Elephas maximus indicus: one gene and its partners. The protein of the gene in region 2 binds, or shares a complex with, the protein of the main gene of each other region. Links are inferred from orthologs where the notes say so. Each region holds a gene or a part of one and is shown on either strand. Other genes may lie near its edges. The genes, in order: GTF2B, TAF7, TAF13 and TAF11.

The links.
Region 1: TAF7 (region 2) and GTF2B share a complex: the UniProt entries of both Homo sapiens proteins name them as parts of the TFIID-containing RNA polymerase II pre-initiation complex. The link is inferred for Elephas maximus indicus from reciprocal best matches to the Homo sapiens genes TAF7 and GTF2B.
Region 3: TAF7 (region 2) and TAF13 share a complex: the UniProt entries of both Homo sapiens proteins name them as parts of the TFIID basal transcription factor complex. The link is inferred for Elephas maximus indicus from reciprocal best matches to the Homo sapiens genes TAF7 and TAF13.
Region 4: TAF7 (region 2) and TAF11 share a complex: the UniProt entries of both Homo sapiens proteins name them as parts of the TFIID basal transcription factor complex. The link is inferred for Elephas maximus indicus from reciprocal best matches to the Homo sapiens genes TAF7 and TAF11.

What each region holds. Positions count from the first base shown.
Region 1 is NC_064821.1:138,982,674-138,990,383, reverse strand, and holds the start of GTF2B (transcription initiation factor IIB), read left to right. Parts: upstream 1-4,699; 5' UTR 4,700-4,790; coding exon 4,791-4,807; intron 4,808-7,710. UniProt on the Homo sapiens protein: General transcription factor that plays a role in transcription initiation by RNA polymerase II (Pol II). Involved in the pre-initiation complex (PIC) formation and Pol II recruitment at promoter DNA.
Region 2 is NC_064820.1:154,654,542-154,661,979, reverse strand, and holds TAF7 (transcription initiation factor TFIID subunit 7), read left to right. Parts: upstream 1-4,609; 5' UTR 4,610-4,948; intron 4,949-5,355; 5' UTR 5,356-5,419; coding exon 5,420-6,469; 3' UTR 6,470-6,932; downstream 6,933-7,438. UniProt on the Homo sapiens protein: The TFIID basal transcription factor complex plays a major role in the initiation of RNA polymerase II (Pol II)-dependent transcription.
Region 3 is NC_064821.1:172,516,801-172,524,081, forward strand, and holds the start of TAF13 (transcription initiation factor TFIID subunit 13), read left to right. Parts: upstream 1-4,270; 5' UTR 4,271-4,331; coding exon 4,332-4,358; intron 4,359-5,230; coding exon 5,231-5,309; intron 5,310-7,281. UniProt on the Homo sapiens protein: The TFIID basal transcription factor complex plays a major role in the initiation of RNA polymerase II (Pol II)-dependent transcription.
Region 4 is NC_064819.1:97,761,225-97,769,240, reverse strand, and holds the start of TAF11 (transcription initiation factor TFIID subunit 11), read left to right. Parts: upstream 1-4,996; 5' UTR 4,997-5,113; coding exon 5,114-5,284; intron 5,285-8,016. Other genes in the region: ANKS1A (ankyrin repeat and SAM domain-containing protein 1A), read right to left, coding at 3,441-3,637. UniProt on the Homo sapiens protein: The TFIID basal transcription factor complex plays a major role in the initiation of RNA polymerase II (Pol II)-dependent transcription.

The DNA of each region.
Region 1 (7,710 bases), on a different chromosome or scaffold from region 2:
CCAAGCTTCTACTAACACAGGGTTAGGAGTGTGAGGAGTTCTCTTATTTTTAAGAATAAGATCCTGGAAAACTGCACTGGATAACCTACATGTTAGAGATCTATTCTACTCAGAAAAAAATAGATCAGGACATAAAAAAGCTAACTTTCAAATGATGAACAGTCAAAATCGATCTCCAGTTTCTGTGAGGCTCTGCTGTTCCCCCAGGTCCTTTTCCTCTGAGCCTTACAACATAGGCACCTCATATTACTTCTGGGGAGGGGAAGGAGAGGTGAGGAATATCTCTGCATTGCAAGCGTGAAACAGGAGAGCTCATTGCTACTGGAGCTTGTGCACTGCCTAGCTTCAGATGGACTTTTACTCTTCTGCCTAGGCAAAACCAGACCACCAAGAAGCAGGCCCAGGACAATGGCCAACTGCGTGTAAAGATTATATCTGGTAACTTATTAAGTATTGTCATAGTAAGTATTAGTATTATAATAGCCTCAACAATGGACTCAAACATATCAACGATATCATGAAGATGGTGCAGGACCGGGTAACATTTTGTTCTGTTATACATAAGGTTACTGTGAGTTGGAGCTGACTCATTAGCAACTAACAATTATAATGTTACGTAAAAATATTTTTTAAAAAAACAGAATTTTTAGAAATGCATACTAAGTTATATATGGGTTGAGGTGACGTCTAGGATTTTTAAAAAAATATTTTAGCCAAGGGAGAAAAAAAGAGAAGGAAGGGATATATGAAAGAAATGTGGCAAAATCTTAATTGTTTAATCTGGATGATGGGTATATGGAGATTCATTATATTATTCTAACTTTGAGCATGTTTGAACATTTTCATATGTGACAAAAAAATTTTTTTTTTTTAATCTAAAAAACCCCTGAGGTTTCGAGAAGTAGTACATATGACCCCTGAGCTAACAGGCACATGAGACTGGTGTAATATTTTAGAGGTCTCATCCCAGTTCTGATGGAGTCCAGTCAGACCTGGTTGTAGATTGCACCGAATCCCCCATTCTTCCTAGTCCAGCAGAATGTCTTATAATTTCCAAAAAAACTTTGTCAAAGCCCACTTAAGTCAGGAAAATTGCCAACTTTGCCAACATCACCAGACACTTATATAACAGACACATACATCAGCATCTCCAAAAGTGAAGTCGCAAAGTAAATCTAATGAGCCTCCAAAACATTCTGCCATGTTAAAAAAAAGCCAGACACAAAAGACAAACACATAAAATGTCTTGAAAAGGCAAATCTATAGAGACAGAAAGTAGGTTAGCGGTTCTGGGGCTGAGGGTGGACTGGGTTTAACTGTAAATGGGCATGAAGGATCTTATTGAAGTGATGAAAATGTTCTAAAATTGGATTGTGGTGATGGTTGCACAAGCTGGTAAAATTAGTAAAATCACTGAATTCTACTTTTAAAATGGATGAATCCTATGGTATATAAATTATAACTCAATAAAGTTTTTTTTTTTTTTTTAAGCCTAGGTGGCTCACAAACTTCTTATCTTTTATTAGGTATGTAAAGCATATTAGATCTTATAAGAACTAAAGTAGCATATCAAGTTGTGATTTTATAGTAGTAATATAAACTTTTGAAATAAAATTTTAAGTTAAAAGGATGAAGTAATTTAAATAAAAATGTTAGTGCAGGTGGTGCATGGATATGGAAAAAGGAAAATGAAAATGTTACTCAAAAATCACGTTTTGTTCAATACTAGTCTAGATAGATCATTGATTCCTAGGTGGTAAAATCCCAGTTGCGTGTGTGTTTGTCTTAATCTCAGGATCAGATAGAATGATTAAATGGCTTAATGTTGATGAAATACTTATAAATTGCCAATCCATGCCGATAAAAGGAAGGACCTGCTTAGTTGCTTAACGTTAATATAAAACAGAAATCCTTACAAGGTCTGACAAATAAGAGCCTTTTACTAATGGACCACCACTACCACAGGCTCCACCAGACTCAGTCCAGCACAACTAGATGGTAACCAAGTACCACCACCGACTGCTCTGACAGGGATCGCAACAGACAGTCCTGGACAGAGCTGGAGAAAAATGTAGACAAAAATTCTAACTCACACACAGACACACAAAAAGACCAGACTTACTGGTCTGACAGAGACTGAAGAAACCCCAAGAGTACAGCCCCTGGAGACCCTTTTAACTCAGTACTGAAGTCCCTCCTGAGGTACACCCTTTGGTTTAGACAGACCCATAAAACAAAATGAGACTAAATGGGCCACACCAGCCCAGGGCCAAGGACAAGAAGGCAGGAGGGGACAGGAAAGCTGGTAAGGGGGAATACGAGGTCGAGGAGGGGAGAGTATTGACACGTCGTGGGATTGGCAATTAACGTCGCAAAACAATATGTGTATTAATTATTTAAAGAGAAACTAATTTGCTCTGTAAACCTTCATCTAAAGCACAATTTAAAAAAAAAAAATTTTTTTTAAGGGCCTTTCTAGGTGCGACAGGAGTAATTTAACCAGTCACTCTGCCTCCCTCTGAGATTTCTTGTTCTCTGATGGTTTCTTCATTCAACAAACATTTATCGAATGCCTACCGTCCTTGTTCTTGATCCTCAAGATGACACCCACTGGCCCTCCTGCTTTTCTCCCTCCTTTTCCTCAAAGCTAAGCTGCTCTACCATGAAAACTTCCCACCAGATTGGGGCAGAGCACCCCCAAGCCCTTTCCTGGTTACACTTGGCACACCTGAAACACGTTGGAGTTTTGAAAACTTTTCCAAATATTATTGTTGTTGTTAGGTGCTGCGAGTCGATTCCGACTCATAGCAACCCTACGTACAACCAAACGAAATGCTGCCTGGTCCTGCGCCATCTGCACAATCATTGCTATGTTTGAGCCTATTGTTGCAGCCACTGTGTCAATCCATCTCATTGAGGGTCTTCCTCTTTTTCACTGACCCTCTACTTTACCAAGCATGATGTCCTTCTCCAGGGACTGGTCCCTCCTGATAGCATGTCCAAACTATTTAAGACAAGGTCTCACCATCTTCGCTTCTAAGAAGCATTTTGGTTGTTCTTTTTCCAAGACAGATTTATTTGTTCTTCTGGCAGCTCATGGTATATTCAATATTCTTCACCAGCATCATAATTCAAGGGCATCAACTCTTACTGACTGTCCAGCTCTCGAATTCATATGAAGCAATTGAAAAAAACCACGGCCTGGATGAGGAGCACCTTAGTCCTCAATGTGACATCTTTGTTTTCTAACACCTTAAAGAGATTTTTTTTGCTGCAGATTTGCCCAATGTGATACATTGTTTATTTCCTGACTGCTGCTTCCATGGGTGTTGATTGTGGATCCAAGTAAAACAAAGTCCTTAGCAACTTCAATCTTTTCTCCATTTATCATGATGTTGCTTATTGGTCCAGTTAGGATTTTTGTTTTCTTTATGTTGAGGTGTAATCCATACTGAAAGCTGTAGTCTTTGATCTTCATCATTCAGTGCTTCAAGTCCCCTTCCATTTCAGCAAAGACGGTTGTGTCATTTGCATATCGCAGGTAGTCTTCCTCCAATCCTGATGCTGCATTCTTCTTCAAATATTAAGACAGAAAGAATATTACCAACATTTTACTATTTCCAAATATTAAGGGAGAAAAAAACTTACAAGAGTACAGTGAAGTTTTTAAATTACAGAATTCTAGAATGGAAGATTGGAAAAGACAGACAGAAGGAAAACAGGCTCTCCTATCCCCATATAGATTTCAGTTCCTGAACTCCTTCCCCTCCCATCCCTTCTTCTTTCTAAGGAATACAGTCTCTCCCACCTTCTTAAGAAAACAATGTGCACTCAGTGGCATTTAAGTCCCATCACCACATGAACAAAGCAGCCACTATATTCTAAGTCCTCATCACCACTGAAACGCTGGAGCACCCCCTCTTGTCCCGTCCCCTCAGGGTCAAGGGTGGTTTGTTCTCGGCAAAGTGGGGGTGGTATTATTGTTGTTATTATTACTATTCAGACATTAGTTTGGCTAATGAATAAATGTAGGGACCTTCTGCCATATCTAGATGTTCTGCCAAGTTCTCTACACTTCAGGTATCAGTCAAATTTGCAAAAGGCATGAAAAAAGTCAGGGCAGGGCCCTCATATTCCTGTCTCACATGCGGCAGAGTGCTCTCACATGCTTTTGTTTAATCTCCTGCCTCCTCTAAAAGGGTATGCAAGGCAGATATTATTACCCTTTGCATGGATGGGCTAGGGGATGTGATTAACAAGACAGAGCATGCTGGCTGACGACAGAGCCTGTGCTGGCTTACCTAAGTGATTTTCTCTCATTACTCCAGGTCTCTAAGTCAGAAATAATCATCCCTGGGGGCAAGTTAGCATAGTACTCCAACTACAGTAACCGACTCTCCGGAAGAGGGTTAAGCCTTTGTGGGATACAGGTTTGCTTGGTCTCCGCCTCGACGCCGGAGTTTTCTTCGTGTTTTAACTTAGTCAGGTTGAGGGTAGCTCTGGTGTAGCCTGTTTGCAGGGTTCCTTTGAGAGTTTCTCTAGGTAGTTTCGTTGACTTACCCAACAACGCGGCAAATATCGGAAAAAATAAATAAATAAGAAAACGCAAAGCACGTGTCACTCGGGATCTCAATTTTCTTGGCCTATCTCCCGACCCGTAGCCGCGCCCTAGTACGACTGCGTGAGCGATTTGCCTATAAAAGCCCGTCTCCAAGCGTTGTGTCGCCAGTCTCTTCCTGTTCTTAGTGCTGCTGTTGTTCCTTGTTTCGGAAGCCGCAGTGGCTGTGAAGATGGCGTCTACCAGCCGGTTAGTATGTCAGACGGTGCCCGGCTAGCTGAGGGGCGGGGGTCTCTAGACGGCCAATGAAGCAGCCGCGTAGGGCGAAGCGAGTGGCCGGAGATACTGGGAAGGTGCAACGGGACTGGCTGGCCGGCCCGGACAGTGACGCTTCCAGACAGCAGGACTGTCAGGATGTCGCAGGGGGTACCTAATCGTCGGCGTTATAGCCCCAGCGTCCTATGTCTTCCCAAGAGTTTCCTTTGTGGGGTCTTCTCGCCCGAGCACCACCGTCTTTGGTCCCCTGTGTCCCCAGCTCTTGGCCTAGCCTGTTGCCCATATTTCAACCGTTCTTTTTCATGTCAGTGTTTTCTACGCATATTTTTCCACCTACGGCTCAGCCAGCCTGAGGGGCCGCGAGTCCTCCTTTCCAAAGAGCGGGAAAGGGTTAGTTCCCGGTCCCTGTCGATCTGATAGCTGAAGAGTTGAAAACGTCAACGTTGGGTAAGCCGGATGGAAACTGGTTATCATCTCAGCTACTCCACGAAGTGGAAGCTAGGGCATTTCTGAAAAGTTGATTAGTTCCCTTTTAAAAGATCTTTTTACAAATGTCTCTGCGGAGTACTGAAGAAAATTTTATTCTGTCTGCAGAAAATTACTTACATATGCTGAGATGTCACTAGATAACATTATTTTTTAAGTGCACCCATATCTACAGGAAATGTATGCAGTGCCCTTAGACACAGCCTTTAATCTAGTGACCTAAAAAATGCATGCAGACCCTAATTATATCTCTTATTACCCCATGAGGTAGATATTAGTATTTTCATAAACTGAGTCATGCCAGTGTTGACCTTTCCAAAGTTAGAACAGAGTGTAGAAACTTAAGCTACCTGGTTCCTATTATCACACAGTTGGCCTCTGGTTAACTCAAAATGTATTGAAAGTTTCAAATTAATTTCTGCAGCACTTCCAGAAGGCAATTCTGTTATTTGTGTATGTGTGTGGAATTGGGTTCCCAATGAAAGTCCTTGATCAAACATCATAAGCTGGAGAAATCCAGGCCCTTTCTAGTGTCTGCCAGGACTTACCATTTTATGTTACTGTATTAAAAAAAAAAAAGCGAGGAGAGCTGCTTTAGCTAATGGCCTGTTTAGGTGTTTGGCAACAGTCCTTAAGGCCAATGACACCCTTGTTTACTGATTCTAATTCTGTGATTGAATGCTCAATCATTCTATCTGTGTGTGGTTTTGTCAGCCCAGAAAACACTTCCTTTCTGCTATGTAAATGGAAACTTTAACTTCCCCAAATCACCAAAATACAATTTATAGTCTTTCATGGCATTAGACCATGGAAGTAAATGTGATTCTATTTGGGCACAATTTTGCATTTAGTATACTATAGCAGGAAATTTTATTCGTAAAAAATGTTTCAGTAGTTAAATGCAGCGCTTCTAACCAATTTGGCATGTTTGGCCCCCTGCTGAGAGTTTGCCTTTCCACCCCAGATATACTGAGTCAGAATCCACATTTAACAAGATCCCCAGGTGATTCTTACTGATCTTGTTAAAATGTAGATTCTGATTCAGTATATCTGGGGTGGAAAGGCTATTTTTCAACAGGGGTCAAACCAGAGCAGACATTCAAAGCCCTAGTTAAATAATACAGATCATTAGTAAAGTCACAATACTTTACCCAAGTAGTACATTTGCCTTTGTGCACCTTTATTTTCTTCATTTGTTTTAAAAAAAAATCAATAAACTTTTTTTTAAGACATAGCCAACTCTTAAATTTTATGTGTCCTTGCTCTATTCCAGCTCTTGATTTTTTTTTTCTACAAGTAAGAACAAATAGTAAATGTTAGTGTTTCTACTTTTAGCATTTTTTTTTTTCCCTTGGAGAAGATGCACAGTTAATGGGCAATGGAACTGCTTGGTGTTCTCACCGAGAAGAGTACAAATGTTCTGGGTTCGAATCTAAGCTTCACCACTTACTAGTTCTGTGACCTTAGGCAAGTTATTCTGAACATGACCTTTAAAATAGAGATGATCCCTATCATGCGGGGTTGTTGTGAAGATTAATAATAACGTATATATAGCATGGAAGCCCTGTTGGCATAGTGGTTAAGAGCTGTGTCTGCTAATCAAAAGGTCGGCATTTCGAATCCACCAGGCACTCCTTGGAAACTCAATGGGGCAGTTCTACTCTGTCCTATAGAGTCGCTATGAGTCGAAATTGACTTGACAGCAATGGGTATATATAGAACAAGACACATAGTAGACACCCGGTAAAGCACGTGACATAGAGTATCTCAATTTATCTTGCCTTGCTGGTGGCTATAAAATGAGGTTTGGCAATATTTGACGTATTAGATAGTCTGAATTGTTTGAATGGTAGTAATGATTGTTTTCTCCATTTCTTCCCTATTATTTATCTGACTTCTCCCACCATCCCACGTCTTACGTGGTTCCTCTTTTATATTACTCTGAAGAGCAATTTGGTTAGAAGTTGACTACTTTAGCATGATTCTGTTTTTATTTTTGGATAGATAAAACATACAAATAGTGCAAAATAAAAAGTACATAAGAGTATATAGTGGAACACCGTATCCCTCCTTCCCCGGCTCCCAGCCATCTACTCCGCCCCCAAAGCAGCCATTGTTAAACTAGTTTCTTGGTGTTGTCTTAGAGAGTTTATGCTTTAACAAACATGTGTATGTGTTCCTACCTTCCATGCCCCCAAGAAGGGGCCTAATGTAAACACAAATTTTAAGTGCACAGCTCAGTTATTACACAGTGAGTGCACGTACATAGCTACCACCCAAGTCAAGAAATCAGGCACCACTAGCATTCCAGAAGCCTCCCTTGTGTCCTCAATCATTTCCCCTGCCCAAAGAGTACCAGCCCTGACTTCTGACGCCTGCTTTCAAGTTTA
Region 2 (7,438 bases):
CGTAGTGCATCTGCTACGTAGTTCACTAGGCAGAACAAAGACAGCGGAAGGGACACAGTACTTCCTGACGCTCCGCGCGCCTTCTCAGAGCTGAGTACACTCGCTACGGTTTCTTCCGGATTACAAAAATGCCCTGGAAAGAAAAGACAGCGCCTAATCGGGGTCATTACATATCCTGACGTACCTAAACAAGATATTTGGAAGAGATTGCAGGAGAGCTTGCAGAGATCTTTCTCGAGCAGATCGCCGCGTCAGAATCGCCAGTGGATTGCTCTGCTTTAGTCTAGCCACCGATTGGGGGACAGCGGCACCCAGAGGCCTAACACGGTATCTACCGCACGTTGTTTCTGAAGCCCTCCTTAGAGACTGTTCGGACTTATTTTAAAATTTCAGTTGATTTAGTATAAAAGGTGCAAATAGTTATTTATTTTTTGCCCAAACGTTAATAAAACAGTCCACAAAAATGGAAATAAAACATTGTCTTCTTAATATCTTAAAATTCACGTTAACTTAAAATAAGAATCCTCACGGAATCTTCCCTTCTGACATTTACTTTTGAAGAAGTCAATATACTAACAAAGCTTCCTTTTCTTTAAAAAATGGGTTACTCAATAACTTCTCCATTGTAAAAAGATTTCTACATTATAAAAAGAAATTCTATGATATAAAAAGGAAATTTTCATTATAAAAAAGGTAGAAAATACTGATAAAAAATTTAAATCACCCGTAGTGGCATTATATAATCACTGATATATATTTTGATATCTATCCAGACTTTTTCAATACATACATGCTTTTATCATTCCAAAAACAATCAGTTCTTTAATAGATACTATTGGTTGCCCATCTTCTTTTCTAACACTTCTTTTTTAGTTCAGGTTTCCACCCCCTACTTTCCTAAGAGGAAGCTGAACCTATTCATAGCTGCATTAAAAAATTTTTTTTTAAATTAGATCCTGATAAATATAAGCCAATAATGGTAATCTCATTCCTTTTGACAGTGCCTGGCTTAGGAATATAGGCTTAAAATAATAAGATTAGGGCTGAATTTCTCACCCTCTGTGCTCCTGGCCTTTTAAGCCAGACAATTCTTTGTTGTGGGAACTGTCCTGTACTTTGTAGGATGTCTAGCCAGAAGTGCCCAGCCCCACGGGTTGTAACAACCAAGAATGTCTCCAGCCATTACCAAATATACCCCTTCCCACCTTGAGAAGCATGGGTTTAGGGTCTTACCCTAGGGACTACTATTGAACCAGGGATAGAAACATGACCTAAATTGGTCCAATCAGACTGAAAGAAAGACTTTGGCTAGGGGAGAGCCACTCTCTTAATTTGCCATGAACAAGGAAGGAAATTCCCCAGTTATTGTTGGCAGTCACTTTATGACCACACACAGTGGTAGCCAGCTTGAATGTTTACAGGCAGATGAGGGCAGAGCTGAAACAATAACGGAAAAAGTAGAAATAAATGCTACTTTTTCAAAATTAGGAAGAGAAAAAACAAATTGTGCAGGCCATAATTTTTTTTTGCTTAGAGCCAGCCATACTTCCAGGCCTGTGCTATCCAATATAGTAGCCACCAACCACATGTAGCCATTGATCACTTGAAATGTGGCTAGTCCAAAATGAGAGGTGCTGTAAGCGTAAAATACACGAGATTTTGAAAACTTAGTACAAAATAAGAATGTAAAATACATCATTAATAGTTTTTATATTGATTACATGTTGAAATGATAATATATAGGATTAAATAAAATAGGTTATTAAAATTTATTTCACTTGTTTCTTTTTACCATTTCATTCTGGCTGCTAGGAAACTTAAAATGCCATATGTAGCATGTATTTGCAGCTCTCATTATATTTCTATTGGACAATGCTGCCTGTTTTCTGGGATAATAAATTTTCTTACTGTTTAAACTAGTGCATACTAGTTTTTCTTTCTTTCTTTTTTTTTTTTTACCCCTACAGAGAGCTTCCTACTTGATATAGGAGACTGTTGTTCATATTTGTAGGTAACCTGATTTTTAAAAAACAAATGATATAGCAGTAAATAAGCTTAATTTTTTTTTTCTTTTTTGAGGGGAGGAGTGTTTGCTATTCCTCATCCTGTAATTTTCTACTTCCAAAATATAAGCAGGACTTCTCCCTTCACCTGTATTTAACCTCCAAAGAAGCTGAAAGTTTATTAAAGGGAATTTTCAAATGTATGGTATTAGCAGTAGCCTGATTGTCATGCTCATTTATCATAAGTGCTTTTATTAAAGGCTACAAAGGAAGGCTTTGGAGGAACTGATACCACACTAGACAATTTCTCACTCTCCTCAAATCTTTGGTTCACTGGTATCACAGATACTCCATGGAGCAACCACAGGAGGGTAATTCTTTCCAGTCAGAGTCTGTGTTTTTCTGTCTAAATGGATTTGAAAGAAACAACTGGATTAATCAATGGACATTAAGGTGATGGTGATATGGCAGAGATCTTAGCTTTAAGGTCGGTATAATTTCACCCCAAGTACAGCATGTAGATGGCCCACAAAAAAGAGGAAGACCTTAAGTGAGATGGATCGACACAGCAGCTGCAACAATGGGCTCAAACATGGCAGTGACTGTGAAGATGGTGAGGGATCAGGCAGTATTTTGTTCTGCTGTACACAGGGTCACTGTGAGTTGGAACTGATTCCACCGCACCTCACAATACAACATAGCATTTAGATCGTGTGCTACAATCAAAAGCAGATACTATGCTTCAGGATTCAAGGGGCTAGGTACTTCAGGGTAATTCAGCTAATCCCTTAATTATCTCACACAGTCTTCCATTTAAACTTTTACTAACTAAAACACTTCCTAATTTTGGAAAATCTGAATTTGATAGAATTTATCTCAATCTATTTTTGATGACAAGAATATTTGAGCATCATAAAACTCACAGGGAATTAAAATGCAAAATAATTCTTGGATTATTGTCATGTATATTTTTTATATAAGTATGGCCTAATATTTTACATGGTTAAATAAAGGATTATACAGAAGTCAGCATGTTAAATTCTTACACCTATAAAATCAGCTATAATTGAGGAACAAGCACACTGAAAAAATTTCATCACAAAAGAGGAAATAGATCATCCTGGAAATTAAGGACGAGTCAGCTAACATTCTTGAACACATTGTAGGACGAAGTGAAATAATGTGCAGTCCTCTGGGAGGGCATAATTGCGCCTTCAAAATTAACATAAAAAAATCAAACTGGTGCCAGGCCATTTTAACTTACTCCCATGATACAGGAACACAGTCTACCTACACAAAAGAGGATATATTCACATACACTATTAGTAAATCTCCTTCACCTCTCATTTACTAGATGGAAAAGCATAACTTTATGTATTAGAAATATATAAAAAAGTGGTTTTATATCATTTATTTTCTCTCACAAATAACTATAGGATTGTTTATATTTATGTTCTTTCTAGATGGATCAATTAAATTGTTCAATTAGCAATTTTTGTGAGTGTGTGTAACTCCTGTGTTCTGGAACTAGGCACTGGAACACAAAGAACAAGATAAAAAAGGTCTTGACTAAGACTGAGATTTTAGTCTGGGGTGATAACAATAAAAATGTACATAAATAAAGCAATTTTGGAAATGTTAATGAGATTTTAAGAGTGTTTTCTTAAATTAAGAAAGTTACCTTAAGAAAGGATAGGAATTAAATTCTAAATGACCTTGATGCTTTACCTATTTAAAAAACAAATGGAAATGAGTAGGAATAAGTGCAAACTGTCACATAGTTCACCGAAATACTATACACATAAACCCACTGCCGTCGTAGTTGTTGATAAATACCTGGCTTCCCATAGAAGACATAGGCAGAAAAGAGCAAAATAGTAGAAGTGGAGTGAAAAAAATTCCAAAGTGATTTCCAGACTCATTAAAATACTACTGGTGAGGGGCAGTATATATATACTACTTTAACAGATTATCTACGAGACAATTCTGTCCTAAATGAACAGACGCCTTCAGAAGAACACTTATTTCTGTTTACATTTATATATACGTCAAACGCATTAAAAGGAAAAATCACCCCTGTTTCCCCGAAATTCTTCAGAATAGAAATAGATCCAGATATCACGGGTTCTCTGGGCATTTTCAAAATCCACAAAATGTAGACATTGAATTATTTAGTGGGCAACACTGCCCTCCTCATTGCACTGATTTCGGTACTTTAAAACCCACTCGATGGGATATCCTCGGGAGCGGGGGTGGGGGGTGGGGACCCGACATTTTGCCAGAAGCAAAGACGCTTTCGGCACCGACGCGTTTATCTCCCGGAATCGCCCTGAAGCCTAGACGCTGTCCGGCTCCAAAGCAATCCGGTAAAAACCCGGACTTAATAGGGGAGGGAGGAAAGAAGGATGGATCTATGTCTTTCTTGGAACTGTTTTCTCTAAATATTTTCAAACCAATAACTCTTTATGAAACATTCTCGCTTTTATTCCGTTAAGGCCATACTCTCGCGAAAGTTTTTCCACGCCTGACAACCCAACTGCGCCTGCGCGCGCATGGCCAGCCCGCACTTCCGCAGGGACCGTGCTGTCACTCACAGCCGCTTCCCGCCCGCGCCGTGACGTAGCGCTTCCTGCTCCGGCTCGTTTTGCAGCTCCGGACCTGGGGTCGCTGAGCTGCTTTGCAGCTGGGCTGCCGAGCTGCTGAGCTGCCCAGCTGCCGAGCTGCCGAGCTGCTGTGTCTGGCTCTCGGAGTTTCGGATCTCGGCGAGCTTTCGCGCTGCCCGTCCTGAGGTCTTTCGTTTTAATCAGCAGCGGATCACTTTGCCGAGCGCCGGGAAGAACAAAGGGAATCAGGGAGACTCTCGGCTCCAAGTCGCCTTGCTCCGAGCGGCTTCTTTTCCGTCTGCTCCTTTCCGAAGAAGCTGCTTTTGTAATCGTCACTGGATGGTAAGTACTCGAGACGAAGAGAGCTCGCTGCGCTCGCTTTTTGAATATCTTTGTTCCGGGAGAGTTTGTGGATTGGGAGTGTCTGCTGGGCCCTGCTCTTTGTGCCGAAAAAGCTTTCGGCGGGAACCGCCATTTGCTTTCCTGCTTGCTAGCTCGCTCTGCATTGTCCAGCAGCGGCACCTAGAGGTTGGAGCTTGACTTTGCATCTAATTGATTTAAATGAAAGTAACTGAATAAGCGAATTTGTGTCAGTAACGACTGGTATCCAGTCACAGCATATTTAGAGAAAATACCTGGGGTTTAATTCAGAATTAAGACAAAATAGACGCTTAGCTGCTATTCTGCTTAGAACTCTTTGTAATTAAAAGATTTCAGTTCATAACAAGTGGCTTTTTTAACTTTTGCAGTAATTGGAATTTTATATTGAAGCAAGTGCTTATTACCAGAGAAGTGAGTCACAGAGAAATCAGGATGAGTAAGAGCAAAGACGACGCTCCTCATGAACTAGAGAGCCAGTTTATCTTACGCCTACCTCCGGAATATGCCTCGACTGTGAGGCGGGCAGTACAGTCTGGCCATGTCAACCTGAAAGACAGACTGACAATTGAGTTACACCCTGATGGTCGTCATGGTATTGTCAGAGTGGACCGGGTTCCGTTGGCCGCAAAATTGGTAGATCTGCCCTGCGTTATGGAAAGCTTGAAAACCATTGATAAAAAAACCTTCTACAAGACAGCTGATGTCTGTCAGATGCTTGTAGCCACAGTTGATGGTGATCTCTATCCTCCTGTGGAAGAGCCAGTTGCTGCCGCTGATCCCAAAGCAAGCAAGAAAAAGGATAAAGACAAAGAGAAAAAGTTTGTCTGGAACCATGGAATTACCCTGCCTCTGAAAAATGTCCGAAAGAGAAGGTTTAGGAAGACAGCAAAAAAGAAGTATATTGAATCTCCAGATGTGGAAAAGGAAGTGAAGAGGTTGCTGAGTACAGATGCCGAAGCTGTCAGTACTCGTTGGGAAATAATTGCTGAAGATGAGACAAAAGAGACAGAAAATCAGGGCCTTGATATCGCCTCTCCGGGAATGTCTGGCCACAGGCAGGGCCATGACTCATTGGAACATGATGAGCTTCGAGAGATATTCAATGACCTCAGCAGCAGCAGTGAAGATGAAGATGAGACACAGCATCAAGATGAGGAGGATATAAACATCATCGACACTGAGGAAGACCTGGAGAGACAGCTACAGGACAAGCTAAATGAATCGGATGAACAGCACCAGGAAAATGAAGGAACCAATCAGCTCGTTATGGGAATTCAGAAACAAATTGATAACGTGAAAGGCAAGCTCCAGGAGACTCAGGACAGGGCAAAACGACAGGAGGATCTCATCATGAAAGTGGAGAACCTGGCTCTCAAGAACAGATTCCAGGCCGTTCTGGATGAACTCAAACAAAAGGAAGACCGAGAAAAGGAGCAGCTCAGCTCTTTGCAGGAAGAGCTAGACTCACTCTTAGAGAAGTAAGAGGAGCTTTGTTACTTTGTCTTTAGACAGTCCACTGAAAGAAAAACCTTGGACTGGTTGTTATGTTCTTGTAGTAGTCCCTATTCCCTCCATTACCTTCTTTTGAAACTATCCCTTTTAAACCATTAGGCTAGGTGTTTATCTTGTAGGAAATAGGATTGTATAGATGGAAAAATGTAGGAAAGTTGTAGGTTTAGTGGAATGAACAATTCAACCTTAATAATCACAGTTTCATTGCAGGACATTGCTGTTTTTCTGTTTGCTAGAAGCTGTTACTACTGCTTTGTGGTGCCATCTGAGATCAGTAAGAGTCTAGCCTAGAAGCAGTGAAGCTAGTTTGCAAATTTTTTCCTGTGCACTAGGTCCTTTCTCAGCTATTAAAAGCAAACATTTCCACATGTAGAGTTGCAAATCGTTTTATGAAGTTGTTTCTAACACAGTAAATAAAAGTAGCTAATTTTCACTGCATAATGTGTCTTGTTCTTTCACAGGTAGTGGGAGTGAGAGCCTCTCCTGGGGTGTTTTCTTGGTGGGGTTTAATGACTGAGCAATTTGGTCCTTTGCAGCTAAAGCAGCAGCTATGTTGTGTTTTGAGTAAAAGAACACAGTAGGGGCAAGGAAATTGGGAAATGTCTTAAATTGCTTTGTATTAAATTTCCAATTCTATTTGGAGATTAGGAGACAAAAGGTACAGAACCTTCCAAAACTACCTTCATGTTCATAGATTAAGGTTTACTTATACCTTGTTTTTTTTTTTAAAGCACTCAAGTCACTTGCTTAAAGTGTTGGAAATAATGATTCTCAAGTGCAGATCAGTAAATCTGTTGGTTTGAATTAGAATTATTTCTAAGTATTTTCCATTTAATTCCTGTAGTTATTTAATCTGAGAATTGAGTAATTTACCCATGTCAGTTTATCAAAATTACTAATAAAGGAAGTCAGTATCATAGTCTGATACTTCAAAATGTA
Region 3 (7,281 bases), on a different chromosome or scaffold from region 2:
TGTTTGCTACAGATGATCTGGTAAGCAAGGTAAACACTATGGTTACTTGCTTAGTGGATAATCTGCCTCTCAGTACATATTACTAACTGTAAGATGTACAAAAAAAAAAAAAAGAGGATGATTGTAAGTGTGGTTCCTCCTAACTCTAATATGTCATTGGGGGACTACCTGTATATTATTATCAAGCTACTAAACTATTTGACATAAGGAGCCCAGGTGGTACACTCGGCTAATAACCAAAAGGTTGGTGGTTTGAACCTACCAGCTGCTCTGCAGGAGAAAGATGTGGCAGTTTGCTTCTGTAAAGAGTACAGCCTTGGAAACCCTATGGGGCAGTTCCACACTGTCCTAGGGGGTCACTATGAGTTGGTAACAACTCAGTGGCAATGGGTTTGTTTTTTGGGAAGCTGCTTGGCATCTGGGGTCTTAAAATCTTGTGAGCAAGCAGGTATCTAAGGTACAGCAAATGGTCTCCATCTGACTAGAGGAACAATGAAGAAAAGAAGCTAAGAAACCAATTAAAATAATGTTTATTTCACAAAAAGTTACCCCACCAGAGGCATAGCTAGGGTAATGAATGCCCAGGGGTCATCTCAAGTCAAGGCCTTGCACAGTCTAATCCCAGCCTCATCCCAGCTTCATTTCCTGTATCCCTACCCAACAAACTTGTCTCTGGCAACCCATCCAGAGCATCTTGTAGAAACATGCCGTGACTTTTCATTCTGTGTTTTATTTCTGCTCTGCTCATCGTGCTGCAACTTTTTTTTCACTTTATTTTCTATTTTGGATTTCAGGTTCAGTGTATAATTATTCATGCCCCATGGTTTGTGACTATTGTAATTGGCCCTTCCAAAGCCCTTCTCATGTTATTAAGCTATTTATTTCCTTTTATCCCTATTCCTATTCCTCCTACCCTGCAACGTTTCCAATGTGTTTAATGCCTATGCTTTTGTTTATATGTTCCTGTAAAATGTATATTGTTTTGTGTGCATATAATTTTAATTTACATAAATGGTATCATGCTATAGTTCTCATTGTGTATTGTTTTTTTACTTAAAAAAACAAACAAACACTGCTGTTCCATCAATTCCAACTCATAGCAATCCTATAGTACAGAGTAGAACTGCCCTATAGGGTTTCCAAGGCTGTAATCTTTATGCAAGCAGACTGCCACCTCTTTCTCCTGTGGAATGGCTAGTGGGTTCAAACAGCTGACCTTTCAGTTAGCCGTCCAGCTCTTATAGCCACCACACCAATTAGCTCTATGTGTTTAAGCTGCATCCATGTTGCTAATATTTTCCTTCTGACTGCTGCATAGTACCCCTTGGTGTGCACCCAGCACAGTTTACCTATCCACTCCCCTGAATGAACACTGGTGTCTTAGCCATCTAGTGCTATTATAACGGAAATGCCACAAGTGATGGCTTTAACAAACAGAAACTTATTCTCTCACAGTCTAGGAAGCCAGAAGTCTGAATTCAGGGCGCCAGCTCCTGGGGAATGCTTTCTTTCTTTGTCAGCTCCTGGGGAAGGTCCTTGTCATCAGTCTTCTTGCTGATCTAGCAGCTTCTCTGTGGAGGTACCCTGGGACCAAATAATTTGCTCTGCTCCCAGCATTTCCTTTTTTGGTGGTATGAAGTCCCTCTCCTCTCTGCTCGCTTCTTTTATATTTCAAAAGAAATTGACTCAAGATACAACCTAATCCTGTAGATTGAGTCCTGCCTCATTAATATAACTGCCTCTAATCCTGCCTCATTAACATCATAGAAGATTTACAACACATAGAATAATCACATCAGATCACAAAATGGTGGACAACTGCACAATAACAGGAATCATGCCTAGCCAAGCTGACACACATCTCGGGGGGACACAATTCAATCCCTAACAACTGGGAATATTTCATACCTGACCCCCTGGACAAGTCCAGTCTTTCATTACTGCCTAATATAGTGGTTCTCAGTCCTATCGGACTCAATACCAAAAAAAAAAAAACAAACCAAACCTGTTGCTGTCTAGTCGATTCCAACTCGTAGTGACCCTGTAGGACAGAATAGAACTTCCCCATAGGGTTTCCAAGGAGTGGATGGTGGATCCCAACTGCTGACCTTTTGGTTAGCAGCCAAATGCTTAACCACTGCACCACCAGGGCTCCACTGAACTCAATAATCCCCCTTAAATAACAAATATAATGCCCCTTTTATTATCCTGAAAATGAAATTCACAGATAATAGGATCTACTAGGGTAGGTGGCTTCTAAGACAGCCCACTGTGATCCCCGCTTCCTGGTATTCTCACCCTATGTAGGATATCGCTTCCAAGATTAAGTTCCAAAAAGATTGTGTCTCCTGCCTTGCATAGTCTCCCTGGCTGTTTTGCTCACCTTCTTTGAGAAAAGCCAGCTGCCTATGGAATCAGTTCATATGCCTATGAATTGTCCTATGGAGAGGACCATGTGACAGGGAACTGAGGGAGGACTCCAATAGCTGATGAAGAACTGAAGCCCTTAGTCCAACAGCCCTCAAGGAATTGAATCCTGCTGACAACCACGTGAGTGATTTTGAAAGTGGATCCTTCCCCATTGACCCTTCAGATGAGACAACACCCTGACTGCAACACTAGAGAGACCTTGAGTCAGAGGTGCCCGGATAAACTGCATCCAGATTTCTGACCCACAGAAATTGTGTGATAGATGTTGTTTTAAGTTAGTACATTTTTGGGTAATTTATTACACAGCAATAAATAGCCAATACACCTACTGTCTTAGTCATCTAGTGCTGCAATAACAGAAATACCACAAGTGGATGGCTTCAACAAACAGAAGTTTATTCTCTCAGTGTCTAGTAAGCTAGAAGTCCAAATTCAGGGTGTCAGCTCCAGGGGGAAGCTTTCTCTCTCTGTCGGCTCTGAAGGAAGGTCCTTATCATCAACTTAGTCTGGGAGCATCTCAGTGCAGAAACCTTGGGTCCGAAGGATGTGCTTTGTTCCTGGCACTGCTTTCTTGGTGGTATGAGGTCCTCATGTCTCTCTGCTCACTTCTCTTTTTATCTCAAAAGAGACTGGCTGAAGACACCATCTAATCTTGTAGATCTCATCGATATAACTGCTAATAATCATCTCATAGCGATAGGATTTACAACACATAGGAAAATCACATCAGATGACATAGATTGGCACAATTCAATCCATGACACCAACCAATTTCGGGGTACTAGCATTCCTAGAAAATTCAATGTACATTAAAAGTGTAGGGAAGTATTTTTGTATTTATGTTAGCAAAGCTAGGTTCTAAGCTCAGATAATATAGTTTTTTCACTCACATGAATGTTCAGTAGGACATTCAGAAATCGTGTGTATTACGGAACAATTTTCACATTTGGCATCATCTGTAGCATTGCAGGACATCTCATATTCCTAGCCCTGGCCCTCTAATGATCTTGGTTTTCCTAATCATTGTTACGTCCAAAAAAGCCAAAACCTATCGCCCATTGTCGTGGACTCACAGTGACCTTATATAGGACAGAATAGAACTACCCCATCTGGTTTCCAAGGCTGTAACCTTTAGGAAGCTGACTGCCACATCTTTCTCGGGAGAAGCGGCTCGTGGGTTGCAACCCCCGACCTTTCAATTAGCAGCCCAGCGCTTAACTATTGAGTCACCAGGGCTCCTTTTCATGATCAAAAACCCTAGGAGGTGGTATCGCCCCTTGAGAACTAGTAACGAAGCACAATATCCCCAATAACTAACACTGTACTTGGCAATAAATGATAGTGGAACTGTAAATGGCTGAAATTGTTTAAATACACCTTCAACCAATTCAGGAGCCCTGGTAGTGCAGTTGTTAAATGATATACGGTCGCTAACCAAAAGGTCGGCAGTTCACATCCCGCAGCCGCTCCTTGGAAAACCTACGGGGCAGTTCTACTCTGTTCTATAGGGTCGCCATAGGTCTGAATCGATCGGACCGCAACAGGTTTGTTTTTGTTTTTGCTTTCCATCAGTTCAAGGACTGCTGGCTTGTCCCTCAATGGCAGTACCGAATCAGGAAAACAGTAGTTCCCAACTTAAAAGCAAATGTAGGCTGACGACGAAATACACGCCACCTAGACATGACTGCCTTCTCTCTGCTGTTTTTTAATTCTTTCCTCGGAAGGACGGACCTCGCCCTTCTTTCGTTAGAGATTGTTCCCGTTAGGCCTCCAGACAGGACTACTGGCACTCCTCCCCGGCGGCTGCCCGGCTAGGCCCCGCCCCGCGCCTGACGTCACAGGAAGTGAGGAGGCGGAAGTAGTAAAACCCATTTAGAGCGAGAGGTTGGCTGACTGATGAGATGGCAGATGAAGAAGAAGACCCTACCGTGAGTGACCGCCTCTGTGCCAACTCTCTCTTTTCTTCACTCCTTCAGGCTCAGTAGCGGCGGCTTCTGAGGCCGAGTTCAGAATCAAGTCTGTTGCCTTAGTGATTGAACCAAGAAAGTTTGGGGACCTCGCGCCTCGCCCTTAAACAAAAAAGAAGGGAGCCCTTAGGATTCATCTTTTTAGTACGTGGGGCAAGACGTGAAGGAAGAGTAGGAAGGTAGCACCTTTCCGTTTGGTTTTGGTTCATATCTTCCAGACACCTTTTGGAGCGTGTAGAGAATCATTAGAGTTCAAAGCCAATATTTGTTAGAGCTCGTTATGAGCCAGCAGTTCAACTAACAGAACTTTACTTACTTTAAAGTAGTGAAAAAATAATGAACCGATATCAGGGAGCTTGGATTTCAAAATTTGTTTTCTCTGTGAGCAAGTTATTTAACCCTGAGCTTCGGTTTCCTTGTAACATGGTGTTAAGGCTTACTTAAGTAAAGCTCCTAGTACTATGCTTAGTAAATACTAGTTTTGCTTACTACAGTGAGGTAAACTTCGATTCAGTACAACTCTTTTTGACAGTAACACTGTCTACCAATAGGTCAATTTGGTTAAAAAAAAAAAACTTACAGTCATTGGAACTCTTCAGGAGAGCCAGTGGGATTATTTGTTAGGAACAATGTAGAAAGCATTCCTCATGAGTCAGAAGTTGGACTAAATAGTCTTTAAGGCCTTGTCATTGCTAAGGTTTCATGATTTATTGCTTCTTGTGGGGCTTTCTGGTCTGAGACCAGTGTTGATAATGGGAAAAAAAATGGTAATCATTAAAAATCAAATGCAATGCAATCATATGACATTTCAATATATACATTTTAACTTCTAGTTTGAGGAGGAAAATGAAGAAATTGGAGGAGGTGCAGAAGGTGGACAGGGCAAAAGAAAGAGACTTTTTTCTAAAGAATGTAAGTTGTATTTGACAATGATTTTATTATAGATGATACAAAGTTTTGGACACATCCATTCATCAAAGTAGGTTTATCGTTCTGAATATGTTTCCCTGTAGGTAAAATGTTCTCACACTTGCCTATAACATCCTGTTTAACTTTTGGATAGTAATGGTCCTAACCCCAATTTTTATGTATATTTTAAGGAGGACATGTGACCAGTGTTTCAATTCAGCGCGTAAAAACATATCGCCATTACTTTTCCTGTCCTTCCCTTTTGCAGCAGGAGGAGCAAAAACTCCTTTGACTGTAAGTCACAGGTGAATCCTGGGAACACATGTGCTTGAGAGTAGGAACAAAGTTGGGGATTTGGACTGAGGTGGTGGACAAGGCAGGAGGGCAGGTGAACAGTGTGAGGCATTACAGTGCCACAGAGATAAAATGTATCGATTCTCTATCCTGCTCACTCAGTAGACAGTTTTGACCCTTTTTGGCAAGAGGGAAGGAGAGCTGCTGTGAGTACTGATCATCAAGACATACCCCCCCTTGTCCAAAGGCACCATGAGAATGTGCTCTCCATCTCCCATTCCAGGGTCTTTTAAATGTAGCTATGACCATGGGTATTGACAGATGAGGCAACACAGATTTATGAATACCTGGTGTATTTATCCTGGATCAGACATGAGCAGTTCTCAAATACTGTTGAAATCACAGGGTCAGTATGCCTTTTTTTTTTAAACCACATAAATCCTTCTCTGTATCTCAATTCCTCCCCTAACGCAGAGCTTACTTGACCACTCCTTATTCCATCTCTGATGCTACTTATGCCATTTGTATGTGGTTTTAATAACTATTATGTCAGTATAAGAAAGGGGACCCCACAACAGAGCATCTGGGAGTGATGCTTGCATAATTAGTTCTTAGCAGAGACCTTTGTTCCACGTCAGTTATCTTTGTGATGACAAGAATTTGGAATCTTCACAGCATTCTTGTCTTACCTGAGTGTTCATATATCTTAGTGATCAAGAGCTGTTTTCCTGAATCCTCTTTTTAGAAAAATTTTAATATAACATGAGATGTTTCAGAGCATTCACTGGGATTTGTTCATGCCTTTATAAACCCTTATACCAAATACAGTTTATATACTTCTAATATAAATTACCCTTTTCCAGAGAAACATATTTCCCTACCGGTGAATTCCACCCATCAAAATGAGAGCAAGAAAATAATCTCTCAAGATATTTAAGGAAAAATAGTAAATTTATAGGGGGCAAATCCTGGCAGATATCACTTTAACCAATTAATCAAAGTTAACATCACCAGTAATATATACTGATACGATATGATGCATTGAGAAAGGCAGATAGCCTCCCCTGGAATGCATAACCTCAACCTAATCATGGGAAAGCATCTGACAAACCCGGTATTCTTCAAAAGTGTCAAGGTTATGAAAGACAAGGAGAGACTGAGGAGCTGTCATAGATGGTAGGAAATGAAGGAGGTATGACAGCCAAATGCAGTGTGGGGTCCTGAGTTGGATCCTGGAACAGGATAAGGACATTAGTGGAAAACTAATATCATCTGAGTAGGTTCTGTGCTGTAGGACAGAGGTGAACTGCCATATAGAGTTTCCAAGGTTGTAATCTTTTTTTTTTTTTTATTGTGCTTTAAGTGAAAGATTACAAATCAAGTCAGTCTCATACAAAAATTTATATACACCTTGCTATATACTCCTCATTGTGCTCCCCCTAACGAGATACACATTCCTTCTCTCCACCTACTCTTTTTCTGTCCGTTCAGCCAGCTTCTGACCTCCTCTGCCTTCTCATCTCCCCTCCAGACAGGAGCTGCCCACATAGTCTTATGTGTCTAGTTGATCCAAGAAACTCCCTCCTCACCAGTATTATTTTCTATCCCATAGTTTAGTCCAATCCCTGTCTGAAGAGTTGGCTTTGGGAATGGTTCCTGTCTTGGGCTAACAGAAGGTCTG
Region 4 (8,016 bases), on a different chromosome or scaffold from region 2:
CTACTACAAACTCTGTAAGGGTGAACCACCCATGTATCAGGAGAAGGACTAATTTTGGTAGAGTGCCTACCATGTGCCAGGAATGAGAGAAATTTTGCAGTGCATTGAGCAGTTGGCCTGGCACAAAGTAGGTGATGAGTAAACACTTGGTAAATGAATGGCATTAATGTGCCTGCCTGAGCAGGTCCTCTTCCTTATTTACTTTCTACTCTGCTATGGGTTGGAAAGATATCCAAGTGTGGAAGTACACCATTTAGGATGTGTCCCGCATGGGACTTTGCACATAGCAGGTGAGGTACGGCAAAAATGTATGTGCTGAACTGAACTGAGCATGGCTAACAATGAGCACTTACAATGTGCCACAAATTTGCTGAAAGTTCCCTACACACATCATCTAAGACAATACCTATTAAGGCAGATAATATCACCCCCACTTTATGGATGCAGAAATTAAAGCTCAAGGTGGTTAAGTAACTCTTATAAAGTCCAGTAGCTACGCAGTGGTGGCAGCGGAACATAAATCCAGGCAGTCTAAGTGCGGAACAACTGGTCTTAAGCAGAATGCTATACTGCCTCTGAATAAACACATAGAATATAAGTTAGGCTGGAAGAATATGAACTTCATCTATGTGTTTTCTTTCTATTAGAAATCTTTGCTGACTTTCTGATTCTCGGGTGTATTTTCAGTAGCAATAAACTGTGAAAGCTAGGCAAGCAAAGAATTGTCGATAGGTAAGCTAACACTACAGATGATATATTCCAAAGTAGAAGCCTGAGACATCTGTGTGTATTAGGGTCATCAGGGAGGGCTTTAAGAAGTTAAGACCTAAGCCCAAGTAGAATGAGAGAAGAGACGGGCAGAGAGAAGGGGGCACAAAGTACAAAGCCATTGTAGAATAAGGAGGGTCATAATAGATGAGTAAACATAAGCACACATGGGGTTTGGAACATTTATACCCTCTGCAGCTTTAAGCCCCCATTCCTGCCAGTTTTACTCAGTCACTCAAAGAGCTGCACCAATGCAGGATTGCAGTTGGCAGGACTGGTGGGGTGGGAGACGGCAGCTAAGACAAAAACCAACTCTAAAGTTTTGATTCTATAGCCGTATTAACGTTATGACTCCACAGCTAACTCAGGGTCCTTGAAGTGGGGGTACAGAGGGCCTACCTTTCACTATTTCTAAGCCTAAAAAGGGAGGACATGCTGACCTGGGATTATTTAAATGCATGGTCTCATTTGCTCAGAAATCTTTCACTCATTTTAACCAGAGTCACCACTGAGATGGTTGTAATTAATGACACACCTATTATAACTAGTGCCTGCACATCCTCCCTGCCCCCAGGAGTCGCAGGAATGAGAGGCTAGGGCAGTTCTAGGCCTTCTGCTGTTTCAACACCACACACAGGAGTAAGTCAGGCGTCAGCTCTTTTACTCAGGAGAATGGAGACACCACCCACCCTTTATGACAGACACAGAACACATACATGAGCATGAGGCCCAAAGTAAAAACACTGTGCTCAACGGAGATTTCCTAGTCTTGCAAAACTATGTGACAGCTAAATCTCAACAAAATTCCAACAGTCCCTGAACGAGGGCACTAAGAGTGACTTGACCTGTACTTGGGGGGAGGAGATATATGAAAGTTTCTCGCTTCAGCAGAGTATGCTGCAGGTTTAAGACATCTCTGGCAAACCTCCAAATACTGCATCTTTCCATTCATTAGAGGCAGACACATCTCCAAACTTCTATAGTCTTTCCCCATCTCTCGGACATCATAACTGCAAAGTATGGAAGTAATCCAGGTAAGACTCAAAACCTGATTCGTACATTCAATGCACATTTACAGAGCACCTGTGAGTTGTCAGGCACTGACCTCAGTGCTGGAAATATAAACATGAGAAGGGCTAAGTCATTCTGAATTCAGATCCATCCATTATTTTGCTTTATCGCACCCAACCACAGTCAAGGCTCCAGGTGGGAAATTCTCCTTAAGAGTTGGAATTGACTCAACAGCAATGGGTTTGGCTTAATTTAGCGTTCCACTAGCGCCATTCCTTTCCCACTTTTGTGCTTCTAACCATGGTGTGCCCACCTGGAAAGCTCTAGCTCACAGGACTTCGCCTATCCAAGTCCTTGCATCCTTCAAGGCCAGCTAAAGTCCCCCTTCTCCTGGAAGCCTCCCCTGACCCCCATGTCATCCAAAAGCAATCTCTCCTTTCTCCAAACTACTAACAATTACAGCGAGTACCAATCAGTTTATTTAGAAATTTATGGTTTTCTACTTCATGGTTTTATTTATTCGTCAAATATTTAGTACTTACTATGTGCTGGCATTGTTTTACAGGATGGGGAGACAGCAGTGAATAGCACACGGTTTTGCCTCCCAAAAGACGCTCCTGGGGAGAGTTAGTTCCCTTACACTGCTTTTTAAGATCCTTCTGTATACACCTGGGTTGGTACTCAGTGTTTAAAACTTAACAATTTATTAAAACCTCGTTCAAGCACATTCAAATCGCAGTTAAATAAACTAATGGGGAACAAATGCTAACGAAGCCATTTCTAAATGAACTTCCACATCTTAAAAACCTCAAAGAACAAGGAAGGAAAAGAAAACAGGGTATGAAAGCGCTGCTGAAATAACAAAATTTAACTCGCAGTGACGAAGGACCTTCAAACCCCCTTCCAAGCCACAAACAGTGGCCTTTTCCTTCAATCCTTTCAACTCTAGACCTAAGTGTTTATTTTAACAACAGATCTTGGAAAAGTTTAAAGAACCCCTCCGTTTCCTAAACAACTCTTTCTAAATCTTTATTTCTTGATGAATAAATCCCCTGATGAATCCTGCATATGTCACTAACAGACTAATCCAGTGAAGTGCAGTACAAGGAACTAGAATTCGAACTTCAAGCGCAAGGCGGGCTCAAAGAAGAACACTTTGAATCTGACAAATCCAAAGACAATTTTAATATAAACAAAAGCCAGGTCCTGCAGAGCCTGGAAGAAGGTTTTAAGTTCCTAAAGAATCAACAGAATTTCTTCCAGGAGAGCCGCGAAATTCTGCAAGGCGTGGGAGTTTCGGCAGGAGGTGAGGGAGGTTTAAAATACTTATTTTTTTGCTCTAAATCGGCTTGTGAGATGCCACAGCTGGCACCCTATACCGGGTAAGGGTGAAGCCGAGCTGTGCCATGAGGCGGAGGGTGCCACCTGGGCACTCCCACCATTCTTCGCACCCGGGTAGGACACGGGAGGAAAGCCCGTGGCCGCGCGGACCCGGACCAGCGCCCCCTCCAGTTCTCGGTCCGGTGGGCCGCCTGTCCTCGCCCCGCTCAACCCGCAGCCCACCCCGCCCAGGTCTCAGGAGCCCCGACCTCTCTGGGGACCAGGAGATGGGCGGGAGAGGGGGATCTCCAGGCGGCGGCCCGGTCCCCGCGCGTACCCACCTGAGCAGACTGGAGAGGGGGTGGCTGGAGGAGCCGAGGCCGCCGCCGCCGCCGCCGCCGCCGCCGCCGCCGCCGCCCCCGGAGCCGCCTCCGCCGCCGCCGAAGCCGGAGGAGAGCCGCTTCCCGGACAGCAGCTTCTCCACCGCCGGGAGGTGCCCGGTGCGGGCCGCCTCCAGCAGCTCCTGCTCCTTCCCCATCCCCAGGGCCGACGCCCCCTAGACCCCAGCCCCGGGGCCGCAGCAGAGCCCGAGCAGGCTCCCAAACTTTCCGTCTCCGGGCAACGCACCCCCCAAACCGGCCGGGGACACCACCCCCCTCCCCCCCGCCTTTTCCCCACGCGCGCGTCACTTCCGGGATCTGGCGTCACGCGTCACCGCGCCCCCGAGCCCCGCCCCCTTGCCCACCTAGCTGGGCGGGGCTGGGAGGGCGGGCTCAGGTGGCTGGGCCAACGCGAAGTGGACTCCGCTGTAGGGATAGGGCTCGAGGGGCCAGGGGACGACACCGTGTGGCCATTCGCTATCCAAGTGGAAGGGGACAAACGAGGTCTACCTGTACACGCCTCCCAAAGTGCGCTCCTTTACCGAAGGTTTTGGGAGCCCACGGGACAGGAAATACGGTAATTCATCCAGGCAGTGCAGAAACAAAGAGAGAAATATGGTAACGCGCACCTACATTCCCAAGTTTATTCTTTAAGCACGCACAAGTTAAATATCTAATGGGCGCGGGGACCTAGTGATAGGTGAATAAAACGTGCCCTTTTCCCGGACTTTATTAATGAGCTCGAAGGAGGAAACAGAGGAAGGTTTTAAAATAGATCTATTCTCACCTCTTCGTCCTCCCAATTCCTGAAATGGCTCATTGAGTGAAACATCAAAGGAGAAAATTTGACCCCGAAAGGATTTGTTTCCTTTTTTTTTTTTTTATGAGATTAACCAAACTGACATAAAAAGGCAGATTTGTGAAACCGGCCCCGAACTTTCCAGTTACTGGTAAGTTGTAAACATCATTTAATTGGGTAGGAACTGTTTTGTTCACTGGTTCCTGGTTCGAAGTAGGCGCTCAAGAGTTGTGGAGTGAATAAATGCAGTGGATAGTTTCTGCTCAATCTAGTATTACTTTTTTTTTTTTTTTTAAGTGCATGCGGAATAGAAATGTTAGCAACTCATTGTAAACCCGGGCCCGCAGTCTGTTTAATTGAAACGTACGCGGTTGAGTCTCTGCCTGGAAGTTTGCCAGTCAAAGGCAGCCGCATCCCGCGGCACGAGCACACAACGGAACTGAGTTTCCTTCCATATCCCCGCAGCTTCTTTACTCAGCGAGTCAGGTTAACGAGGGGGTTAACTGATATTGCATTTTTTAAAAGGCGGAAAGGAAAAAGAAGCCCTTCAGTAAACAAAAGTGCGCGCCTTCACAAAAGCTGGTTACCCCGGAGCGAAGGATCCACAAACTGAACTCCGTACCCCCAATTTTCCCTCACCCCACCGCCCCACAAGAGTTAAAACAGATCATCAAAAGCCGCTCTACGTGCCCCCAATTGACCCCTCCGCCGAGCGGTAGGGGTGATGTCATCACAGCGCGACGACAGGAAGTAAGCTCCGGGGCTGCTGAGCCGAGCGGGGTTCAGCGCTCCCGCGTCTGACAGCGCCGCGGTCTACTCTCCGCCTCTCGCGGAGATGGACAATGCCTGCGAGTCGCCCACGGACAAAGGTGGAGAGACAGGGGAGTCAAATGAGACACCCGCCGCTCCCTTGGGTCCCGGGAACGCCAACACGGACGGAATACCCGAGGAAGCTGACGGGGACGGAGATGGGGAATTGAAAGAAACCCCGGTGGAAGAAGGCGAGGTAGGGAGGTGTGTTGTTTAGGCGGGAGGAGTACACCGAGACTAGGTTACTGGGTGCTCGCCAGGCTTCTTGGTTGGTCCCTCCTAAGCTACAAGAGCTCAAATTCACAACACTGTCTAGATCGTCAGTCATGGGAAAAAAGCCTAGTGCTGGTTACATTCCAGAGGCCCACGTACAGGGTTAATATTTTTAATCCCTACTCTTAGGAATTAAACTACTTCTAAGGGAATTTTAAACAGTCTTTGGTGAAGAAGTTAGGGCCCGATGTCACATCGAGACTTAGTGCAAGAGCCAGTACTAGAACCCAGGATTACCGGCTATTGGCCTAGTATCTTTTTCACCAAAATATGAGTCCTCTTGTTAGCTGCCATAGAGTCGGCCAGACTCATAGCAACACCATGCACAACAGATCGAAATACTGCCCGGTTCTGCACCATCCCCATGATGGGTTGTATTGGACCATTGGGTTGTATAGGGTTTTCATTGGTTGATATTCTAAAGTAGACGCCAGGCCTTAAATCTGTCTTACTCTGGAAGCTCCACCGAAACCTGTTCAGCATCATAGCTACAGGCAGGCCTCCACTGAGGGAGTGGCAGTGCATGAGGTCCACTGGCCGGGAATCCAACCTGGGTCTGCCGCATGGGAGAGTTCTACCACTGGGCCACCAGTGCACCCATGGGCACTCTTAGATGTTGGTTAAGCATAACTTTTGTCTTTATAGATGACAGAACCGATAAGATCCCATTAAAAGGAGACTTTGAAGAGAGACATTCTTACTCTCTTGGGACATTTAACTGCTACCAAGTACAGTGACCTGTGTGCAAATGTCAAAGAGTCTATAGAGCATAAAAACGTCAGACCCATCGGTTATGCCACCCCCAGAGCTCAGAGTGTTGCCTAGCTGAGGATCTGCCAAGTGACCAGAATCTCAGCATTCTCTGTGTTTCATTTCTAGAGATAGAATCTTGGGGTCTTAGAGCTAGAAAGGACTTAAGAGATCGTGGAATCCACATTAGATTAGATGGAAATAGCCTTTCGGGGCACAAAGTTGCCTCCAAATATACAAAGTAAGTTTTAGAAAAAAAGATGTGACAAAAACTATTTTAAGAAAGAGCCTTTAAAAGATGTCCCAAGGACAGAAAGGATTTAAATAATAATTAGCTTGGTCCAATGGAGAGCTCTACCATCTGTCTGTTTGTTGTACTGTAGTGGCTTATGTGTTGCTGTGATGCTGGAAGCTATGCCATCGGTATTTGAAATACCAGCAGGGTCACCCATGGTGGACAAGTTTCAATGGAGCTTTCAGACTAAGACAGACTAGGATGAAAGGCCGGGCAAGCTACTTCTGAAAATTATCCAGTGAAAACCCTATGGATCACAACAGAATATTGTGCGACATAGCACTGGAAGATGAACCCCCTAGGTTGGAAGGCGCTAAACAATAGCTGTAACAATGGGATAAAACATGCCAGTGATCACAAAGATGGCACAGGACTGGGCAACATTTCAATATGTTCTACATAGGGTCGCCCAGGAATCCAGGCTGACTAGATGGCAACTAATAACACCACCTAGCAATAGAGAACTCACTACAAATAGAACTTTGCAGCCAACAGAGAATATAGGTTCTTTTTTGATACTTCTGAAACACTTTTAAAAATTGATCATGTACTAGGCCACAAAGAGAAACGTAAATTCATAAATGTAGAAATCATAATAGGCCACGTTCTGTTAGTACAGTGCAATTGTTATTCTTGTTAGTTGCCCTAGAGTCGGTTCCAACTTAAGGCAGTAAATCCTGAAATTAACAATAAACTAATCACTGGGTCATTTTAAATAGTCCTTAAAGAAATTAACAAAAAGAACAGTCTGTATCAAACACTATGGAATTTGACCAAAGTCTAACTTGGAGAAAAATTCACAGCCTTAAATATTTTTGTTAGTGAGTGAACAATATCGAAAATAAGCACCCAACTCAAGAAATCAGAAAAAAAAAAAAGCAAAATAAACCAGAAGAATGTAGGAACAAAGAGCTAATTAGGATAAAAGTAAACATTAGCGAATTAGCCCTTGAAAAACGTTAAGAAATCATAAAGTTAAGACCTGATTATTTGAAATGTAAACGTACAACATTACAAAATAAGAAAGGGGCTATAAGCACTGATATGGAGATCCTTAAAGTTAGGAGAAAATTTAATGTTCAAGTTTAGGCCAAACAAATTTGAAAACCTAAACCCAAACCTGCCGTCGAGTTGATTCCGACTCATAGAAAATCTAAGAAAAATGAATGATTTGCTAGGAAAATATAAATCACCAAAATTGAAGCACAAAGAGGTTAGAATTTTTATATAAATCATTAACTAGAGAAGAAATTTGAAAAGCATGTCTATCTTCACTCCCACCCACCCTCCATTCCCATATTCCTGTATGAGTTTAAATGTGAATTCCTCTTTAAGGGAAACAGGATAAATCTCATTCGTGAGTTTTGTTGTACCCTTAGATTCTGTATTGACTTCAAGAGGATAAAGTTTGTGTGTGTGTGTATATATATATATATTTTTTAATTAAACAGAATTTTATTGAACAACTAGCATGAGTAAAAGTCTGTTAAATGTTTATGGGGGAGATTTATAAATAGTAGGAGACTATCTTCAATAGTTTTCATTCTAGCAAAGGGAAATAAAAGGTTGCTTGATACAGTAGAAAAGTTAGTTAGGAAGCAAGGGAGCTA